Linked DNA regions of Saccharomyces cerevisiae S288C. The protein of the gene in region 1 purifies or fractionates together with the protein of each later gene. This does not show direct contact. Each region holds a gene or a part of one and is shown on either strand. Other genes may lie near its edges.

Region 1 (4,162 bases):
TCTATTTTTAATTTATATATTTATATTAAAAAATTTAAATTATAATTATTTTTATAGCACGTGATGAAAAGAAATATAGTCTTCAAGGTTATATTATACAGGTTTATATATTATTTTACTTATTTTTGTTGTTCTTTTTCTTGGAGTATTTAGCATTAACAACTTCGACAGGTTCCATAACGCTTCTATCCTCTAGTTTCACATAGGTACCGACTACTTTACCTCTTCCATCGCCCAAATTAATAATTGTCTTTGAGAAGTTGTTTGTATTTGCTGTGGGCAAAACATCTTTAAAAATATTGCATACTGCGGCCTTAAGTTCGTAGTGTAACGTCAATGCTTCAGTAGCTGTCGTGAATTTTATTGCCTTATAGTCATCTACAGTAGGTTCTTGCCAATCCATTTCAGGAAATTTACAATCATATAACAATAATGGTATATCATTTGCCATTTCGTAAACAGGCCTTTGAGGGGTTTTCTCAATATCAGTCAGACGCAAGACAATTTCCGGCACTTCAAGTGATTGACCAACTAAGAAAAGAATGGCCATCATGCAACGAACTTGGTGCCATAGGAATGCTGAACCAACGAGATCAAAACAATAGAAAGTTTCAGAAAGGGGAAGAATTTTTGAGCTTATTATTGTTCGTTTAAAATTGGTAATTTGTTTTGAGCCATCAAGCTTACAAAAATTCCTGAAGTCTCTCTCTCCAACAAAATATGATGCGGCTTTAGACATTTTTTCAATATTAAGGTTTTTTCCATTAAAGATGTACTTATAGTGCCGGTGAACACAGCTGAATCTTGCGTCAAAGTTAGGTGGCGGTCTGAGGCAGACAGCTGATATACGAATATCGTCGGGTAGTAATTGATTTAAAACGTGAACATAGGGTATTTCCCTGCTGTCGTTGGTCGGATCCCGCTGTTCCTCATCTGTTAAATTGGAACGGACTTCTAACGATATAACTTGGTTCATGGCGCTAACTCCCTTGTCTGTTCTGCCACATCTGCTAAATTTATAGTCTTGTAAAACCATCGAGGGAACAAGTTTACACTTATTCATGGCCTCCAAAATGGTACCCTCTACTGTAGGCAACGGTGTGTATTCCTTCTGAACAGCTAAGCCATTGTAATTCCATCCCAAATAGGCAAATCTCAAGGCGATGAACCTGGTATTATGTTTAGAAAAGTCAAACTTCTTCGGAGCCTTTTTCGCCTTGCTTCTCGTAACCTCTTCTTGCGAAATTTTGCGCTTTTTGTTATCCTCGATGTGCTGGAATTTTTCAGAATGTGGCTTATTTGCGTTTTCTAGTTCAGTGATCCTTCGTATTAGCTGCTCTTTGGACCAGTTTGCGTAAATGGAGTCCTTCTTACTAACAATAGCATTGGTACCTGTTGAAATCGCTTTCATTTTCCCAACTAGCCTTCTAATGAAATTACTCATTCAAGGGAGGTTATAGTAGGGCAGTAAAGATTGCATGTGGGCACCTCGAGAATACTATATTATTCTTTATTTTGAGCCGGCTTTTCGCTTTCAAAAATTTTTCACTGAAAAACAAAGTGAGCTTTTCAAGATGAGCTGAGCCCATTGATTTGAGGTGTAGTAAGATAATATTAAAAGCTCAGCAGCAATAAAAACAATGTCAAAGTCATTGGAATGGGATAATCTCGGGTTTTCTTTACTTCCCTGGATAAGGACAGGACTCGATGTTATGGGTTTTGAGACCATGACTCCAGTCCAAGCATCGACAATTCCCATGCTTGCTGGCAACAAGGATGTAGTAGTTGATTCTGTAACAGGCTCAGGTAAGACCGCTGCGTTTGTTATACCTGTACTAGAAAAAGTTGTAAAGGAAGAAGCGAATACATCAAAATTCAAGAAAGCACACTTCCACTCGTTAATTATTGCTCCAACAAGAGAATTGTCACGCCAAATTGAGTCTGTCGTTCTATCATTTCTGGAACATTATCCTTCCGACTTGTTCCCTATTAAATGTCAGCTCCTGGTTGGTACTAATGAAGCCACAGTTAGAGATGATGTAAGTAATTTTCTGCGGAATAGACCGCAGATTCTGATTGGAACACCTGGTAGAGTTTTGGACTTTTTACAAATGCCAGCAGTAAAGACGTCAGCATGCAGTATGGTAGTTATGGATGAAGCAGACAGATTGTTGGATATGAGTTTTATTAAGGATACCGAAAAAATTCTGAGGCTATTGCCTAAACAAAGAAGGACGGGTCTATTTTCTGCAACTATGCGTAGCGCCGGATCAGATATCTTTAAGACAGGGCTTAGAAATCCTGTCAGGATTACCGTTAACTCTAAGAACCAGGCGCCCTCCTCTTTGAAATTAAATTACTGTGTCGTAAATCCTGCCGAAAAACTACAACTTTTGGTTAGCATTTTGAATAACTACAAATTCAAGAAATGTATTGTATATTTTCCAACATGTGTGTCAGTCTCCTACTTCTACTCATTTATCCAGTATTTGGGAAAGAGGAATATTCTCGTGAATGAAGTAGAAATATTTTCCTTGCATGGAAAACTTCAAACATCGGCAAGGACAAAAACTCTAACAGCTTTTACTGATTCGCTAAGTAATTCTGTTTTATTCACAACAGATGTGGCTGCTAGAGGTATTGACATACCCGACGTTGATCTCGTCATCCAGCTTGATCCCCCTACCAATACTGATATGTTCATGCATAGATGTGGTAGAACTGGTAGAGCAAATAGAGTGGGTAAAGCAATTACGTTTCTTAATGAAGGCAGAGAAGAGGATTTTATTCCTTTCATGCAAGTTAAAAATGTGGAACTTGAAGAACTTGATTTGGAAGTAAAGGGCATAACAACAAACTTTTACGAGGACTTTAGAAATTGGATACTAGAAGATAGGGATAGATTTGATAAAGGTGTTAAAGCATATGTTGCCTTTATTAAATACTACTCAAATCATTCCGCAACTTCAATTTTTAGGCTTCAATCTTTAGATTATGTTGGTATTGCGAAATTGTATGGTCTTTTCCGCCTGCCTAGAATGCCTGAGATAACAAAGTACTTAGCCACCGAAAAACAAGAAGGGATTTTCCCAGGGAATTGGTTGGTCGATCCCCCAGTTAATATGGATGAATATAAATACAAGGACAAAAAACGTGAAAAGGAGAGACAAGAAACATTAAAAAATATAAGCCTGATTAATGATAAAAAGAAGCTGAAAAGTGAGTTGAAGAAGAAGAATTTAGCGTGGTCAGATAAAACATTGACGAAAGAACGGAAACTCGAGAGAAAGGAAAAGATGAGTTTAAAAAGGAAGGCTATAGAGGAAGAATTGAAAGCAGAAGAGCTCGATGAAAATGCTGAAGAAGAGCGTATTAAAGAGGATTGGAAAGAAATCGTTTTACAGAATAAACGGAAGAAAGTTTCCAGCAAAGCTATCCAAGGCAATTTTGACGACTTATAATTATGGAAAAAAAGTTACCTTGTTCGTAGAATCACTCAACATTCTTAACCAATGGATGATCTTGTAGCATCATAGTGAGTAAGTAGATTATTTGTGTATGCATACTTAATTTAAAATATTCTAAAACCATTATACTCCATCTTAAAGCATAATATATATCTCTTGTTCAGCATGTACTTGTAACAGGAAAAGGATATTATGTTCAGAAATAATCAAACAGCCTCAATACTGACATCAGGCAGTCGACAGGAATAACTTCAAAATAAGTTCCGATCACAACGTTATTGTAATGGAACCAATGATCGCTCATTGATTAGTATTCATATTAACACTATATTAAAATTGAGTGTGAGTAGATGGCACAAAGACTGAGAAATAATCATCAAATTTAATGGAAGCCGAAATGCAAGACTTGATAATGTAATGGAATAAAGAGTGGCGACAATAATATGAAAAAGAAAATATTAATAACATTATATAGAAATATGGGCTTCCTTTTTTAGGTTATTACATCCTTGGGAAGAATTTTTAATATACTTTGATTCCCTTTAATAACAATGGAATGCCAACAATTATCCTAACATTGACCCGTTGGTAATTAGAGGTTAAGAAGTAGTGTTAATGAAGATTAAATATGGATCTTCTTATACTATATAAGAGAAGTATAAAACACACGCTGATTTGTGTATTATTACTTATGA
Region 2 (3,794 bases), on another chromosome or scaffold:
ATGGTGAAACCGAAGGTTTATATGGCTGGCTTGGCTTAAACTATCTATATGGACACTTTAATGACTATAATCCAGAGGTCTCTGACCATTTTACATTTGGGTTTATGGACATGGGCGGTGCCTCTACTCAGATTGCGTTTGCACCGCATGATTCAGGAGAAATAGCTAGACATAGAGATGACATCGCCACCATCTTCTTGAGGAGTGTTAACGGAGATTTGCAGAAATGGGACGTTTTTGTTAGTACGTGGTTAGGGTTTGGTGCCAATCAGGCTAGAAGAAGGTACTTGGCTCAGTTGATCAATACCCTTCCAGAAAACACAAATGATTACGAAAATGATGACTTCTCTACAAGGAACTTGAATGATCCATGTATGCCGCGAGGAAGCAGCACGGATTTTGAATTTAAAGATACCATATTTCACATCGCGGGTTCTGGGAATTACGAACAATGTACAAAATCTATTTATCCGTTACTTTTAAAGAACATGCCTTGTGATGACGAGCCGTGCTTGTTTAATGGTGTTCATGCTCCTCGAATAGACTTTGCCAATGACAAATTTATAGGTACTTCTGAGTACTGGTACACTGCCAACGACGTATTCAAACTTGGGGGCGAATACAACTTTGACAAATTTAGCAAAAGCCTAAGGGAGTTTTGCAATTCCAATTGGACGCAAATATTAGCGAACAGTGATAAAGGCGTGTATAATTCTATTCCGGAGAATTTTTTGAAAGATGCATGCTTTAAGGGCAATTGGGTCCTTAATATACTTCATGAAGGGTTTGATATGCCTCGAATAGATGTCGACGCAGAAAATGTCAATGACAGGCCCTTATTTCAAAGTGTGGAAAAAGTCGAAGAACGAGAGTTATCGTGGACACTAGGCAGAATTTTACTTTATGCCTCAGGTAGCATATTGGCAGGTAATGATGACTTCATGGTGGGTATTGCGCCCAGTGAAAGAAGAACTAAGCTCACTGGTAAGAAATTCATACCTGGCAAGTTACTGGAGTCTGATCAACTACGCAAGCAAAGTTCCAGCCTTTCTAATAAAGGATTTTTGATGTGGTTCGCAATTATTTGTTGCATATTTTACTTGATCTTTCATAGGTCACACATAATCAGAAGACGTTTTTCCGGTCTGTACAACATTACCAAGGACTTTAAGACAGGCATAAGGAGAAGGTTGAAATTTCTAAGGAGATCAGATCCATTTTCCAGATTGGAGGAAGGTGAACTTGGAACAGACGTAGATGGCTTCAAAGATGTGTACAGGATGAAGAGTAGCAGTATGTTTGATCTTGGTAAGAGTTCAGCCACAATGCAAAGGGAGCACGAACCACAAAGGACAGCAAGTCAGTCCGCTAATCTCGCTCCGTCAAACTTACGACCTGCGTTTTCTATGGCTGATTTTTCCAAATTTAAGGACAGTAGGCTATATGATTGAATGTGGTGGTGTATGTGCCATAAATAGAAGCGCATATACTTCTCACATAAATATATGTATATATCTAGTGAGGTGCCATAGTATTGCATTAACAGTGATTCACGTCACTCTAAACGTCGCTTCTGTTTTTTTTTTGAAATTTTTTTCTCACAGCTGCTGAAAATTTTCGAGCGAGGCGATGAGATGAGCTAATTATATCAAGAGGGAATTGTACTAGTAATACTTTGGTACACACAAGAACAAGCATATAGGTATACAGTCACGACTATAATATCATAAAATGAGAGTCAGAAAGCGCCAATCTAGAAGAACATCTACCAAGTTGAAGGAAGGTATTAAGAAGAAGGCTTCTGCCCATAGAAAAAAGGAAAAGAAGATGGCTAAGAAGGACGTTACTTGGAGATCAAGGTCTAAGAAAGACCCTGGTATTCCTTCTAACTTTCCTTATAAGGCTAAGATCTTAGAAGAAATAGAAGCCAAAAAAATGAAGGACTTAGAGGAAAGAGAGCTTGCCAAACAACAACGATTGGAGGCTAGGAAAGCTGCCAAGGAACAAGGCGTTGATGCAATGGATGAAGACATGATAGAAGACGATGAAAATGGATTAGCAGCTTTGGTTGAGTCTGCTCAGCAAGCAGCTGCTGAATATGAGGGCACACCCTCTAATGATGCAGATGTTCGTGATGATGAATTGGACGTCATTGATTATAACATTGATTTCTACGGTGAAGATGTAGAAGGCGAGTCAGAACTTGAAAAATCTAGGAAAGCTTATGACAAGATTTTCAAATCCGTTATTGATGCTTCTGATGTCATCCTATATGTTTTGGATGCCAGAGATCCAGAGAGTACAAGATCAAGAAAGGTGGAAGAAGCCGTCTTACAAAGTCAGGGTAAAAGGCTGATTTTAATACTGAACAAAGTTGATTTAATTCCCCCACATGTATTGGAACAATGGTTAAATTACTTAAAGTCTAGTTTTCCTACAATCCCATTAAGAGCTTCTTCTGGTGCAGTCAACGGAACTTCTTTCAACAGAAAGCTAAGCCAAACCACTACTGCAAGTGCACTGCTAGAGTCGCTGAAAACTTACTCTAATAACAGCAATTTGAAGAGATCTATTGTAGTGGGTGTTATCGGTTATCCAAATGTTGGTAAATCATCTGTTATCAACGCTCTTTTGGCGCGCCGTGGAGGTCAATCAAAGGCTTGCCCAGTCGGTAATGAAGCAGGTGTTACTACCTCTCTGAGAGAGATCAAAATCGACAACAAGTTGAAGATTCTAGATTCTCCTGGTATATGTTTCCCAAGCGAAAATAAGAAAAGATCGAAAGTTGAACATGAAGCTGAATTAGCTCTTCTAAATGCTCTACCGGCAAAACACATTGTTGATCCGTATCCAGCTGTCTTAATGTTGGTAAAGAGACTAGCTAAATCAGATGAAATGACAGAGAGCTTTAAAAAGCTGTATGAAATTCCTCCTATTCCTGCTAATGATGCAGATACGTTTACAAAACATTTCTTAATTCACGTCGCTCGTAAAAGAGGTAGATTAGGGAAAGGCGGTATTCCAAATCTTGCCAGTGCTGGTCTTTCGGTACTTAATGACTGGAGGGATGGTAAAATTCTTGGTTGGGTTTTACCAAATACATCGGCAGCTGCATCTCAACAAGATAAACAAAATCTAAGTACTATAAACACTGGCACTAAACAAGCTCCAATTGCAGCAAATGAATCCACCATTGTATCCGAGTGGTCCAAAGAATTTGATTTGGATGGATTATTTAGCTCTCTTGACAAGGCCATAGATGCTAGCAAAGATCAAGATACAATGATGGAATAAATAAGTCATATGTAAGGCTATTTTTATGTAAGGGGTGTTTCTTATTTTTTCTTTATCATCAAATAACATTACTGTAAATTATAGGTGTGCTTTTAAACTCATTACTATACATCTTATTTTTTTTAGTTTTACTGCCTTTTTGCTCTTTGGACAAAGAAATCATTAAAAAGTTCCAACTTTTATTATGTTTCATATATAAGATATACAAAATATAAAATGCAAAACGAATTTCAGAGATAGCATGACTTATGAAATTGGGGACAGACTCAAGATTGGTGGATATTTTTGCACCATCAAATTCATAGGTGTTATTAAGCCGTGGCCTTCGGTAAAAGCTTATGGGGTGGAATGGGACGATCACAGCCGGGGAAAACATTCTGGAACAATAGATGACATACACTATTTTGACGTTCAAATTCCTAATTCAGGATCATTTTTGAAGGAGTCTAAGATTAAATCTCCAGGTGTACGCAGAATTACGTTTTACGAAGCATTGTCAG

The links. The genes of interacting proteins can lie anywhere in the genome.
Region 2: the proteins of SPB4 (region 1) and NUG1 purify together in Saccharomyces cerevisiae (affinity purification with mass spectrometry; 6 studies listed by BioGRID). This does not show direct contact.

What each region holds. Positions count from the first base shown.
Region 1 is NC_001138.5:144,413-148,574, reverse strand, and holds SPB4 (ATP-dependent RNA helicase SPB4), read left to right. Parts: upstream 1-1,640; coding exon 1,641-3,461; downstream 3,462-4,162. Other genes in the region: pseudouridine synthase DEG1, read right to left, coding at 116-1,444. UniProt on the Saccharomyces cerevisiae protein: ATP-binding RNA helicase involved in the biogenesis of 60S ribosomal subunits. Binds 90S pre-ribosomal particles and dissociates from pre-60S ribosomal particles after processing of 27SB pre-rRNA.
Region 2 is NC_001137.3:160,992-164,785, forward strand, and holds NUG1 (RNA-binding GTPase NUG1), read left to right. Parts: upstream 1-1,731; coding exon 1,732-3,294; downstream 3,295-3,794. Other genes in the region: YND1 (apyrase), read left to right, coding at 1-1,451; PAC2 (Pac2p), read left to right, coding at 3,536-3,794. UniProt on the Saccharomyces cerevisiae protein: GTPase required for 60S ribosomal subunit export to the cytoplasm.